Macaca mulatta: one gene and its partners. The protein of the gene in region 1 interacts with the protein of each later gene in a biochemical or structural test. Links are inferred from orthologs where the notes say so. Each region holds a gene or a part of one and is shown in the gene's direction. Other genes may lie near its edges.

Region 1 (4,104 bases):
ATTTTTCTCACTACAAATTAATAAGAATAGCTATCCCTGGGGAGAAGGAATGATGGGGGTAGGGAAAGATTTTCATTTAAAATTTTTTACCTTTCTGAACGGTCTGCATTTTCTAAACAGGAACATGTATTAGTTTCATTGAAAAAAAAAATGTCAGGGGTTATCTGAGCAGTGAGATAATGGGTCCTTTATAGATTTTTGTCTTTATACCGGTTCGTATTAAACAAACACAAATATTAATAACATATTTTTAAAGACCCTAAAAAAATAAAAATTAAAAACCCTGATAGTATCAGCACATACACAGAAATCACTCCATTATGCAAAATTCATCCTCTATTATGAAAGGCAAAATGTCTACATTTCCTATGAACCACTGGCTTCAATTCAGCAAAACTTGCATACCAAGTAGGCAAGGTGGAAACGAAAAAGGCGGAACATTTCATGTATTTCAATTCAGACGCATAAAAATGTCAAGCCCTACACGTATCAACTTTCGTATACACCGTCTTCTGCATTCGCCTGTACCGGCCAATGGGCTAGCTGCTCGGAGTTTGATGCTTGAAGTGATGGAACGGAGGACGGGGTTAAATCTACTATTTCTCCCCACGCACTCTAGTATTTACTCTATTTCCACGTCATGTTTCCGGGTGTGTGTGTCCCTGTTCACGCAGAAACTGAAGTTCAAAGCAGGCGGAGTCACTCATGTTCTTTTTGTTGTCCCCAGAACCCAATTCAGGTGTTGGGTCCCCAGAGGATCTGGAGATACCTGGGGACTGTCTAACTGGCTGATTCCCACGTGGTAAGAGGCTCTCAATCTCGCCACCACGTGGTGCCAAGGGCCGGGAAAAGGGAGAGCGGACAGGAGGGAGCTGTATCAGGGGCATTTAAAGTGCCTTGACGTCACGCACTGCCAGGAACTCAGCTGAGTTTTCAGCAGGACATTCCGGTCATCTTCCCTCCCTCCCCCCGGGCTTCTGTGCCCAAGTCCTCGGCTCTTCCCTCGCTGTGGCGGAGGGAGGAGCACCGAACTGTCGGAACAGCCAGCACAGGGGCGTATCAGTCTTCTCTTGGCTCCGCCCTTTCTCCTAGCTGCTCTCTTCATTGGTCAGTGGGCGGGGCTTTGTCGGTACCGCACACGCACTGGGACCTCTGGGTGGCCGAGCGAAATGGCCGTTCATGAATTATGCATGACGGCGTGCCCCGGCCAGGCTGGGGCTGGGCGGGGATTGGCTGAAGGGGCTGTAATTCAGCGGTTTCCGGAGCTGCGGCGGCGTAGACCGGGAGGGGGAGCCGGGGGTTCCGACGTAGCAGCCGAGGGAACAAGCCCCAACCGGATCCTGGACAGGCACCCCGGCTCGGCGCTGTCTCTCCCCCTCGGCTCGGATAAGCCCTCCGGCCTGAGGGAGCCCCGTCGCCCGCCCCCGGCGCACGCGCAGCCCCGGCCTCTCGGCCTCTGCTGGAGAAACAGGTGAAGGGGGTGCAGGGTGGGGCCGTCGGGGAGGCCTGGGGACCTGGGGGCGCCGCCGCGGTTGGGGGCCTCTGGGACCTTGGGGATTTTGTGATGGACGCTGCAGTGGGGCGGGGAGAGATGAGGAGACGCGGAGGGTCGCCCTGAGGGAAGACTCTTCGGGATGACAGGAGCGGGCCTCGGAAGGGACTCGGGGCGCTGGAGGGAAGTTTCGTTCTTCGGAGAAACAGTGAGAACGCGCCCGAGGGGGCACCGTGGGGCGAGGGCGCACTCGGCTGCGGCGGCAGGAGTGAGGGACAGTCCCCCGATTTCCTGCTCCCTGGAGCCCTGGGGACGTTCCGGCCGCCGGAGCGACTGTCACGCCGGCGGGGATCACCGGCGCGGGTGGGGGTCGGAAAGCGCCTCCTCCCCGCCTGGCCGGCGGCTCCCTCTGAGCCACTTCCTCCGCTTGCCCTGTTCCCGCTTCTTCAGGAGCCAGCTGTGCCCTTCTGGAGGCAGGAATAGGTGTGTCTGTCCCCTGCAGCCTCACGGGCTGGCTGGTCGCGGGTAGGCTTTATTGCATAAGAATCAAGTTTCCTGTAGGGAAATTGACAGACCGGTACTCTTTCTAAATTCCCTCCCATCTTTTTCTAGGTTAAACTATGCTCCCCTCACGCCCCCGCCATGTAAAAAAGAGGGGAAAAAAAGACAAAATCCCCGTCAACCCGTCAAGCCAGCTCTAGAGAGAGAAATAAATCTCTTGGCAATGTTCTTTTCCAAATACCTGGTAAAGTCGGCCAGAAGATAAATAATTGAGCCATTGCGTTTACTGGATTGTGGTGTTGCTTAATTGCATAGGACGGAATGAACCAATCGAGAGTGGGAGTTCTGTGTCTCAGAGCCAAGATCTTGGGTAAATGCAGAGGAGAGGGAAACAAAGACAGGCTGGCCTTGACAAAACCATGTGTGCTAAGTTTACCTGCATTTAGGGGGGTGTGGTTGCACTGAAGTTAACAAGATTCAAACCGTCGCCCAAGTTGGTATTTCCATGTTTGATACACATCACCCTGTGCCATATCAGGTCGTTGTAAGTGTGGTGACAAAATCAGTGGTTAGTCATTGTTTTTTGTTAAAAATGTGTATAGTGTGTACCTGCTGGTCTTACTGTATGTGCAACTAAAGGTTTACGTAGTCTGTGCATGGGTTGTAAATTTTTGGCTGGCTGTGCTGATAAAGCATTGGGCTTGAATAAAGCAAAGCAGAAAATCATCTCAATCTTTTATATGTGGATTTAGACTGTGCTATGACTTGATTCAGCCAGTTTTCTATTTTATTTTATATTAAATATGTCTGTGTTCTCTGAGTCAGCACATTTATTTCCTTATTACATGTTCCAGACGGGAGTGCTAGCCCAGTTTTTGTTCAGTTTGCACAGTGGGATGGGGAAACAAGTCTGGAATTAAAAAAAAAAAATGTTTTAGAGGTTGGAGCCTTGATTTTAGTCTCTGTATTAGCACATCCATCACAAAGAACCATTAGTAAATTCATGAATCTTTTGTTTTTTATGTAGTTCATTTGGGAAGAATAATCACTTAAAAATATCCACAGTGCCAGGCATGGTGGTGCACACCTCTGATCCCAGTTACTTGAAAGCTGAGGCCGGAGGATTCCTTGAGTCCAGGAGTTGAGTCTGGTCTGGGCAACATGGTGAGAGGCCAGGAATTGGGTCTAGAGTCTAGTCTAGGCAACATAATGAGAACCCGTCTCTAAGAAAGAAAGGAAAGGAAAAGAGGAAGAAAGGAAAGAAAAAGAAATACCCACAGCACAGTTATGAATTGACCCACAAAGGACTTGTGAGGTAGGTAGTTCACATAACAATTCCTCTAATATTGTAGATAAGAAAATTGAGGCCAAAGGATCAAGACACTTGCCCAAGGCGGCAGAGTGCCATAGTGGTGGAATTTGTGCCGCCTTCTGTATATTTTGTGAAAAGTATCAGTGAAATTCTTTTTTTTTTTTTTTTTGAGACGGAGTCTTGCTCTGTTGCCTAGGCTGGAGTGCAGTGGCGCAATCTTGGCTCACTGTAACCTCTGCCTCCTGGGTTCAAGTGATTCTCCTGCCTCAGCCTCCCAAGTAGCTGGGACTACAGTTGCGCACCACCACGCCCGGCTAATTTTTGTATTTTTAGTAGAGACCAGGGTTTTACCATATTGGCTAGGCTGGTCTTGAACTCCTGACCTCGTGAGCCGCCCGCCTCTGTCTCCCGAAGTGCTAGGATTACAGGTGTGAGCCACCGCACCCAGTATCAGTGAAATTCTAACATATATCTGAACAGTAAAATACCACCAACAGGCTGAAAGACTTTATGGGAGGTAAATATTCAATAAACACGTGAAAAAAGAAATACAAATGGAGCTTGCTTAGATTATTTTTCTACCTAATTGCTATGTCTAACTTGGGAAGTGAGGAACTGTTTTTGGTCAGCATAATTTACCATCAGAATTCAGCTATTTACTAATGAAAAGAAATACTAATCGTGGTTTGTTTTAGATTAAGGACAGTCATGACCTAAATGTCATTTAAACCAGAGTGCATTGTGGCTTGATCAGTGGTCATTTCTGTCTCTAGAAAGTTGCTTTAACCACCCTGCCTCT
Region 2 (3,928 bases), on another chromosome or scaffold:
CACGCCCGGTTACTTTTTTTTTTTTTTTTTTTTGGTAGAAACCGGGTTTCACCATGTTGGTCAGGCTGGTCTGGGACTCCTGACCTCAGCTGATCCACCTACCTCGGCCTCCCAAAGTGTTAGGATTACAGGTGTGAGCCACCGCACCCAGCCCTTTTTTTTTTTTTTTCAAGACAGGGTCTCGCTCTGTCACCCAAGGTGGAGTGCAGTGGCGCCAAAACAGCTCACTGCAGCTTCCACCTTCTGGGCTCAGGTGATCATCCTGCCTCAGTCCCCAGCAGCTGGGCCCCACCACACCGGCTAATTTTTTAACTTTTAGTAGTGACGAGTTCTCATTATGTTACCCAGGCTGGTCTGGAACTCCTGGCCTCAAGGCATCCGCCTGCCTCTGCCTCCCAAAGTGCTGGGATTACAGACATAAGCCACCGCGCCTGGGCTCCTATGATTTTTATTTAACATAACGCACCGTGGAATTTGTGCTCTGCTTAGTTCAGTCTGAGCAGGAGTTCCTTGATACTCTGGGAAACACTTAAAATCCTTCCATCCCTATCCATTCATTCCTGCATCACCCAAGTGGAAATTCTGCGTTTCAGACAGGGACACTACCCTTAGAGAGTAGTGGGTTCCCCAGCAGCGTGGTGAAACATGACACTGAGTTTCATGAAAAGAGGGCAGACATCTGGCCAGAGCTGGGAGGCAGGAAATAGAGCACGGTGCCCTCCGCCCATACTCCAGCTTGGATTACCGAGGCCGGGGCCCAGGCCCTGCAGGAAAGGAGGTGCATGACTACTTTAAGGCCACTCACTCTGTGACTCAACGGGCCGGGCGGAGGCTGGAACTCAAGGCCCTCCCGGGCCTGGAGAGCCCACGCGCCGTGGGCAGGGCTCCCGGGGTCGCCTAAGCAACGGGCGCGCGCCACGCCCGAGCCCAAAGCCCCGGAGCGGAGGAGGGAGCGCGCGCAATTAGATATCTCGCGGTGCTGGGGCCACTTCCCCTAGCACCTCCCCCGGCTCCTCCCCGCGGAAGTGCTTGTCGACATTTTCGATCGCTGATTGGTCCTTCTGCTCGGGGGCGGAGCCCCTGGCAGGCGCGGTGCGTAGTTCCGGCTGCCGGTTGACATGAAGAAGCCGCGGCGGCTAGGGCGGCGGTAGCGGCAGGAGTCGGTGCTTGCTGCGGACCTCAGGGCCAAGAGCGCGACGCGGCCTAGAGCGGCGGACTGCGCAGTGGGCCGAGAAGGAGGCGCAGCAGCCGCCCTGGCCCGTCATGGAGATGGAAAAGGAGTTCGAGCAGATCGACAAGTCCGGGAGCTGGGCGGCCATTTACCAGGTGCGGGAGCGCCCCGGAGCGTGGCGGGCCCTTCGCTTAGGCCGCTTGAACATCCCCTCAGACCCCCAGGCTCCAGACTCCCTCTGGGTCTTGCCCTCTGCCTCGCTCCTCCTGCTTGAGGATTCGATGGGACAGCGACGCACTGCGTCCCCCTCCCCTTTTGTCCCCGGGGTGGGCCCGTTTCTCGCCGCAGCCTCGGAGCCCCCTTCGATCCCCCACCTCCCTCCTGTTCTGCAGCCCGGGTGATCTCTCAAGCCGGGGATCGCCTGTCTGTGCTCAACGCGAATCCCTCGCACCCCGACCCCGCCCCCTGCCTGTCCACTCTTTGTCCCCTGGGGTGATTTAGCACCCCCACTGTTTCCTTTTCTGGACTGGACCACCTCAGACTCTCTTCCTTTGTCTCCCTGGGGAAAAAGGTTACTCCCCCCCTCCCTCCTTCACATTTCCTTTTCCCTAGTCTCAGTGTGCGTCGAGTCCCAGGGATGACTGTCCCCTTCCCCCTTTCTGTTCATTCATTTATTGGATAGGAGTTGGCGAGCTTATTCTGTGCTAGGCACCGCTTAGGCATTGGAGATGGTGTTTGCTAAACAGGACAGGCAAGATGCTAGCCTTAGTGGAGCGTAGAGTGGAATAGGGCAATCAAACACAAAAGCAAATAATTTCAGATAGAGACAAGTGCTGTGAAGAGAACGAATTCCTAACGGGGTACAGGGTGACTGCATAGAAAGCCGGCTACCTTAGAGAAGGGGATCAGGGAAGGCCTGTCAAAGGAAGAGACATTTGCTTTGTGAGCTGAACCAAAAGGAGCAGAAAACCATGATAATATGGGGCTAAAGAACCTTCTAGCCAGGAGGCCTGCGGTACCCACTCCATTGGGGCCATGATATTATCCTTTCAGGCAGGGAATCAGGAAGGTTAACGTTTTAACCCTCTCTAAAGTAGCATCTTTCCTCAGTGAGCAGCTTAGTCTTTGGTCATGGCAGAGATGACCTTGTCTTAGGAGTCTTCATCTCCTTGTGTGTTAAAAAGTTAGGAAAGTAGGATTTCTCATAGATCTGTAAAACAAATAGTTAAAAACACAAAGAGCTCTTCCTTTCACAAGCAGCTAAATCCTCTGAAGAAAATACATACTCCCAATTAAATGTCATTGCGGGGGTTGTGAAGATATACTAAAACCACACTTGCACAGTATCTTAAGCGATATACAGAATAGAGAGATTTTGTTACTTGTGTAAAGGGAGACGGCAGTTGATTCTGGTTTCAGCTTATAGGCTCAAAAGGCAAATTGTGAGATCCATCAGCTGTAGTATTAAAATCTATTTTGAGCACTGCTTAGAAAGGAAAAAAGGTTTAAGCAGTTCTTTGGTATGCTTGACTAACAAAAGCCTTTTTTTGGCAGCCTTGATTTTCATGTGGATTTACATCAAGCTTATTTGACAGGACTCTTTTTATTTGAACTGTAGTGTGTATATTAGTTTCTGCTAGACTAATATTTCTAACCACTGTAATCTATATACTAATAAGTATGATTGATCAGTATATAAAATTTGTATGCCATATCTGGTCTCTGAATTAGTTGAATGAATTCCACAAGTGACTTTGAGAATGTGTAGACAAATTTTCTGCATCAGTTTAATGCAGTAGAGTCTAAAGTGCCTTTAAATGAAAATTGTTGATCTGAAGTGTTGGAGTTGATTATGATACATCCCATCACAGTGGAAGCATTGTGGAGAAGTCTTTCCACTGAAACTGACTGAGTTGACAACAAGAAATACGTATTGTAACTTAGTTCTTAGTTGAATTTTATTTCTTACAATTTAAAGCCAGAGTGGGCTGACCTGTCACCCAAGCATTGTTAAAACTGTATTAAGCATGCAACTAGCATGGAGTGTGTCAGTCTTCAATTCATTTCCTTCATTGTTCATAAGTTTTTCTGCCATAAGTAAACTCCACAAGTTAGTCAAGGTGTTGAGATTTTCACTGTTTCTTAATGGATTGCCACATTCCCGGAGGTAGTTTCTTTTGGTCTTGGAGAATTGTCACGGAGGGCTTTTCTCACCTCCACTGTATGGGTATTTTTCTTTTCTAGAATCTTGAAATCAGAAGCTTTTCTCCTTTCTAAGTGTAAAAGTAACTCTTTGTCATACAACTGTAGGGTTTTCTGAAACAGAGTTCAAATGACCTTGAGTCTAAAGTGGCTGACTTTCCAAGGTGTGTATCAGTTTACCAAAACCATTATTTTTCAGGGATTCAAAGAAATGTGTTTACAATTGATAGAAAATGGAAGTTTAAAAAATTAATATTTTATAGATGTCGAAATGAGGGCAGCCTTATACAAAGTCATACTTTGAGCTTGCCTAGCCTATTGTGATTAGAGAAATAATGTAATTTTTGCTTACAACTTGGTAAACAGGTCAGTTATTCTAACTTATTTTCTAATTAGAACAAAAAGATGTAAAAACTTGAAAACTATTGGGGAAAGAATCAAGAGTGAAGAGGACTTTTGAGTGCTGAGGAATGTGGTGGCTTAGAAAACAAATTTTCAGGCAGAGATTCTTTGCTAGGTCAATTTGATAAAGTGAGCATAACCGTATTTTTAATG
Region 3 (3,937 bases), on another chromosome or scaffold:
GTTCGCTTTTAGAATCACCAGAAAGAGGCCAGCCCCACATGTAATAGGAAAGTAGTCTACCTGAAATCATTCATTCATTCAACAAATATTTATATATTCTTTATTAAAGTAACTTACTTGTTTCCGATTGTGAACATAACTATTCCTCTTGGAAAACATGAGAAAATACCCAAAGTATAAAAGAGAACCAAGTCACCCTTTATTCCATAGTCCAATGACGAACCATTGCTAACATAATTTGGTGTATTTCTTTCCAGGTTTTTTCTATGTGTATATATAGTAACTAAGTGGGATCGTTCTATATATAAGACTTGTTTCTTGCTTCTTTCTCTTAATGATATATTGTTAACATTTTCCTGTGTTGTTAAGAATTCCTTGAACACATGGCGTTTAAATTGCTAAAATGTATTCTACTGCATGGATGTAGGTAACTTAAACGCCTTTCCACCTGTTGTTGGATATTTAAAGGCTTGTCAATTTATCGCTTCTGTAACATTTACACGTTTTGTGGGGCCTCAGAGGTAAACCAGGTAATGCAAGGAATCTGGGAAGAGGTGGATTTGCAAGGAATCTCGGAGGAAGTGGATTTTGGAAAAACTGGAGGAAGCTTTACCGGGGCAGCTGAAGAGAACACTTATCTCTCTGTAGGTTGCTGGGATCCGGACAGGTGTCCTCAGCATGGAACGTACTGTCGGTCAAGGTAACCAGCTCTTCATCACTCAGGTGTGTACCAGGAAGGGGTGTCTGTTCGCTGCGCAAGTTTGGCCTAAGCTCACCTGCCCTTCAAACCCTGTGGTGACGAGGCCCGAAGCCTTAAGCTCCGACCTGGCTACCGCCGCCAACCAGATGCAGTCCCCTGGGGCCACGCGCCGCCACGTGCCACCACAGGGCCCGCCCCTCCCGCTCCTGGCCACGCCCCTCACCCACTGCCCTCGGAGGCTCTCTCCGCGGCTCCGCCTCCAGGCGACCTCCGCAAGTTCTCTCAGCCCCGTGGAGTAGCCCCGCCCCCGGCCAGCGGCCCCGCCCCCGCAATCCGGGCCCCGGGGCTGCCCCGCCCCGCAGGCCACTCGGGAGGCGCGGGGGCGGCGCCCTGCGCGATGACGTGGGCGGGCGTGCGCGGTGACGGCCCGCGTCCCTGTTACTCAGCGGAGCGGCCGAGGCTGGACGACGCGGCTAGGATCGCGGAGCGGCGAGCAGACCTGGGTAACGGCCGCGGCGACCGCTCGGACCGCCCCTGTCCCCGCTGGCGGGCTTCCCTGTCGCCGTTCGCTGCGCTGCCGGGTGAGTGCGGCGGATGCCGCAGGGCCTGGGCGGCAGGCGGCCCCGTCGTGTTTATGTTATTGTGCCGCTGCCGCCGCCTTCTCCTCAGCCGTAACCCCCTCCCGGGAGTGGGGGCGGGAGCGCGCGGCGGGCGGGGGCGGCGCGGGAACAATAGCGGCGCAGAGGCGGGGGCCGGCCAAGGGGGCGTGGGGCTGCGGGACCTGGGCGCGCTCTGCTACCCGCCAGCCCGCCCGCCGCGGCGAGCCCCGCCCGCCTGTCCTCTCGCGTCCTCTTCGCGCGGGTCCTGCCTCCGCGGCGGGAGAAGAAAATAGCGGGGGGGTGGGTGGCAAGTTCTGAAACACTTCGGCAAGGGTCGGACAGAGGCGTCTCCGCGGCCCGCCGCACCCTGGCTGCCTCCGGGGCGGCGAGGAGCCGGGAAGAGGGCTTCTACCAGCGGGTCCCCAAGCCTGCCCCGCGCCCATGGGGACCGTATTTTGCTTCTCGGTGGTTTCTTTGTGCTCAGGTTCTGGGCGAAGGCAGGCAGCAGCGCTGAAAAGGGCCGGGATGGCCTGCAGCTCTGGGCTGCGAGGCACAGCCCAGGCCCGTGGTTCGGGTGGGAGGTGTCCATCCAGCTTGGCCCGAGCTTCGGTGGTCAGCGCACATTTCTCTTGAGGGTCACTCGGTGGTGACCTTTTGACTTTTTCACCCCACCCTCCCATCTCTTTGTCTCACATTTGTGTTCCGGATTCAGAGATGGTAGAACCAAGTCCATTTTAAAGTACCCTGATGAACACTTTCCGTTTTTATTTCTGAAAGTTCCCCGCCTGGTCTTTATTGCGAATTTAATAACATGTTAACTACATGGCATTGTCCAGTGATTACCGTTTTTACCTCTGAAATTCAGCGATCTGTCCAGTAGAATTCTGGTCCGTCAGTCCATTGTGTTTTGAGATAGGCATCCAGCAAATACCTCTTTGGCAATTAGAACATGTTTTTTCATTCATTCATTCATTCAACAACTGTTCGGTACCGTACCCAGATGAAGAGGTTTGGTTTGAAGGTAAAGGAAGGTATCCTTTCATGGAAGAGGATGCTTTGACTGAAGTATAATAGATGGACCTTTAAATGAGAGAATTACATAAGAGATGTCTGTTAAGGAAGGTATGGTTATGTTCTGGGTCATTTTTTAAGCAGTATATCTGGAAGTTCAAGTGTAATGTTAGGAAGTAGAATTAGATTTGGTCTAAATATACAACAGCTTTTGTTTATTTCTAAATTTTATTTTTTCCAGTCTTGCAGCCTTACAGTCATTTGTAATGGTTACCTCAGATTCCCCTGCTGTGGTTAACGTTAAACCTAGGAGGTCAGATGCTCTAAGTGAACATGTTTAGTGCTGTGCCTGACAAAAGCAAGCAATCAAAATGGGACTTCCTTGAGGGCAGGCCTGTCTTGCATCTGTTTCTCCACCACCTAGCCTGGAATATAGTAAGTGTTCAATAAAAGTCGGATTGATGAAAAGCTCTTTGTAATTGATAATATTTAAATTCAAGCCTTAAAAAAAACTGTAATGTTCTCCATAAAGTTTTGGAAGCTTCATGCAACTGTCGCTTCAGATGGCTAAATGATCAGTTCATGTACATTATCTGTTATGATGACATGGGCTTTTGAATCACGTGTAGGTCATTCACTGTCCTAAAATAAAATCTTGTCTAAATGTTTTTTTAATATGATTAATAAACTAAAGTAGGTTGTGGGGTGTGTGTTTCTGTGTATGTACTAGTTTATGTGTGTCTGTGTGTGTATGTACGTAATGCACACACAGGCACACATAAACTGGTATTTCAGTAGGGGTCTAAAATGATTGCATTTATAATTTTGTGAATATTATTTGAAAGGTTTTTGGTGACTCATTTTGTGAAAAATTGAGGACAAAGCCACATAAATGTTTTATTAGAAATATTTCTAATATTTTGGAAATGTTTACTTGAAATGTTTGGTTTTAAGTTCTAACTTGTGTTAACACATTGGTACAAAATATGATCCTAAAACTCAAAATAATTCATTTATCCAAGTTAAAGCTCTTTTCCACTCCCTGAACAGTTTAGCGTTTGTTTTGGATTTGAAAGAATACGAAAAGAGTGAACTAATTAATGAGCTTCTTATTATTTGGTGTAAAGTGGAAATGAAGAAATAAGAAAATGATACTTTTTTAAGATGAGGGATGAAAACCTTTGAGATACCAACGTTTTATTGCTTTACCTAGTTAAGGTATGTCAGCTTCTAGTAGGGGTTACTGACAATCCTTTGGCAGTAGCTCACAGTCAGCCTATGTAAAGAACCAGAGTTGTGTTATTTTGTTTTCCAAATTATTGGTTTTTAAAAATAGCTTTATTGAAATTTAATTGACATGAAATTCACCTGTTAGAGTGTATATATTTCAGTGGTTTTTAGTATATTCACAATGTTGTGCATTGATCACCATCACCAATTCCAGAACATTGTCATCACCCCAAGAAGAAACACCATATTCATTAGCAGTCACTCTGAATTTCACTTCAAATTATGCTTTAAAGTAAGAGATATAGCATCGATTCTGTTAGTAAATATATTCCTTTAATAAGTATGAAAAGGGCTCCTTTTAAGTGTCCTGTCCTGGCAGAATAGGAAACTATATCCT

What was found.
Region 2: of the proteins of STAT3 (region 1) and PTPN1, one has a biochemical effect on the other in vitro, tested with the Homo sapiens proteins (2 studies listed by BioGRID and IntAct). The link is inferred for Macaca mulatta from reciprocal best matches to the Homo sapiens genes STAT3 and PTPN1.
Region 3: of the proteins of STAT3 (region 1) and MAPK8, one has a biochemical effect on the other in vitro, tested with the Homo sapiens proteins (2 studies listed by BioGRID). The link is inferred for Macaca mulatta from reciprocal best matches to the Homo sapiens genes STAT3 and MAPK8.

What each region holds. Positions count from the first base shown.
Region 1 is NC_133421.1:66,739,584-66,743,687, reverse strand, and holds the start of STAT3 (signal transducer and activator of transcription 3), read left to right. Parts: upstream 1-1,304; 5' UTR 1,305-1,471; exon of another isoform or gene 1,472-4,104. UniProt on the Homo sapiens protein: Signal transducer and transcription activator that mediates cellular responses to interleukins, KITLG/SCF, LEP and other growth factors. Once activated, recruits coactivators, such as NCOA1 or MED1, to the promoter region of the target gene.
Region 2 is NC_133415.1:103,366,147-103,370,074, forward strand, and holds the start of PTPN1 (tyrosine-protein phosphatase non-receptor type 1), read left to right. Parts: upstream 1-1,128; 5' UTR 1,129-1,263; coding exon 1,264-1,326; intron 1,327-3,928. UniProt on the Homo sapiens protein: Tyrosine-protein phosphatase which acts as a regulator of endoplasmic reticulum unfolded protein response. Mediates dephosphorylation of EIF2AK3/PERK; inactivating the protein kinase activity of EIF2AK3/PERK.
Region 3 is NC_133414.1:60,853,032-60,856,968, reverse strand, and holds the start of MAPK8 (mitogen-activated protein kinase 8), read left to right. Parts: upstream 1-1,137; 5' UTR 1,138-1,281; intron 1,282-2,551; exon of another isoform or gene 2,552-2,745; intron 2,746-3,937. UniProt on the Homo sapiens protein: Serine/threonine-protein kinase involved in various processes such as cell proliferation, differentiation, migration, transformation and programmed cell death.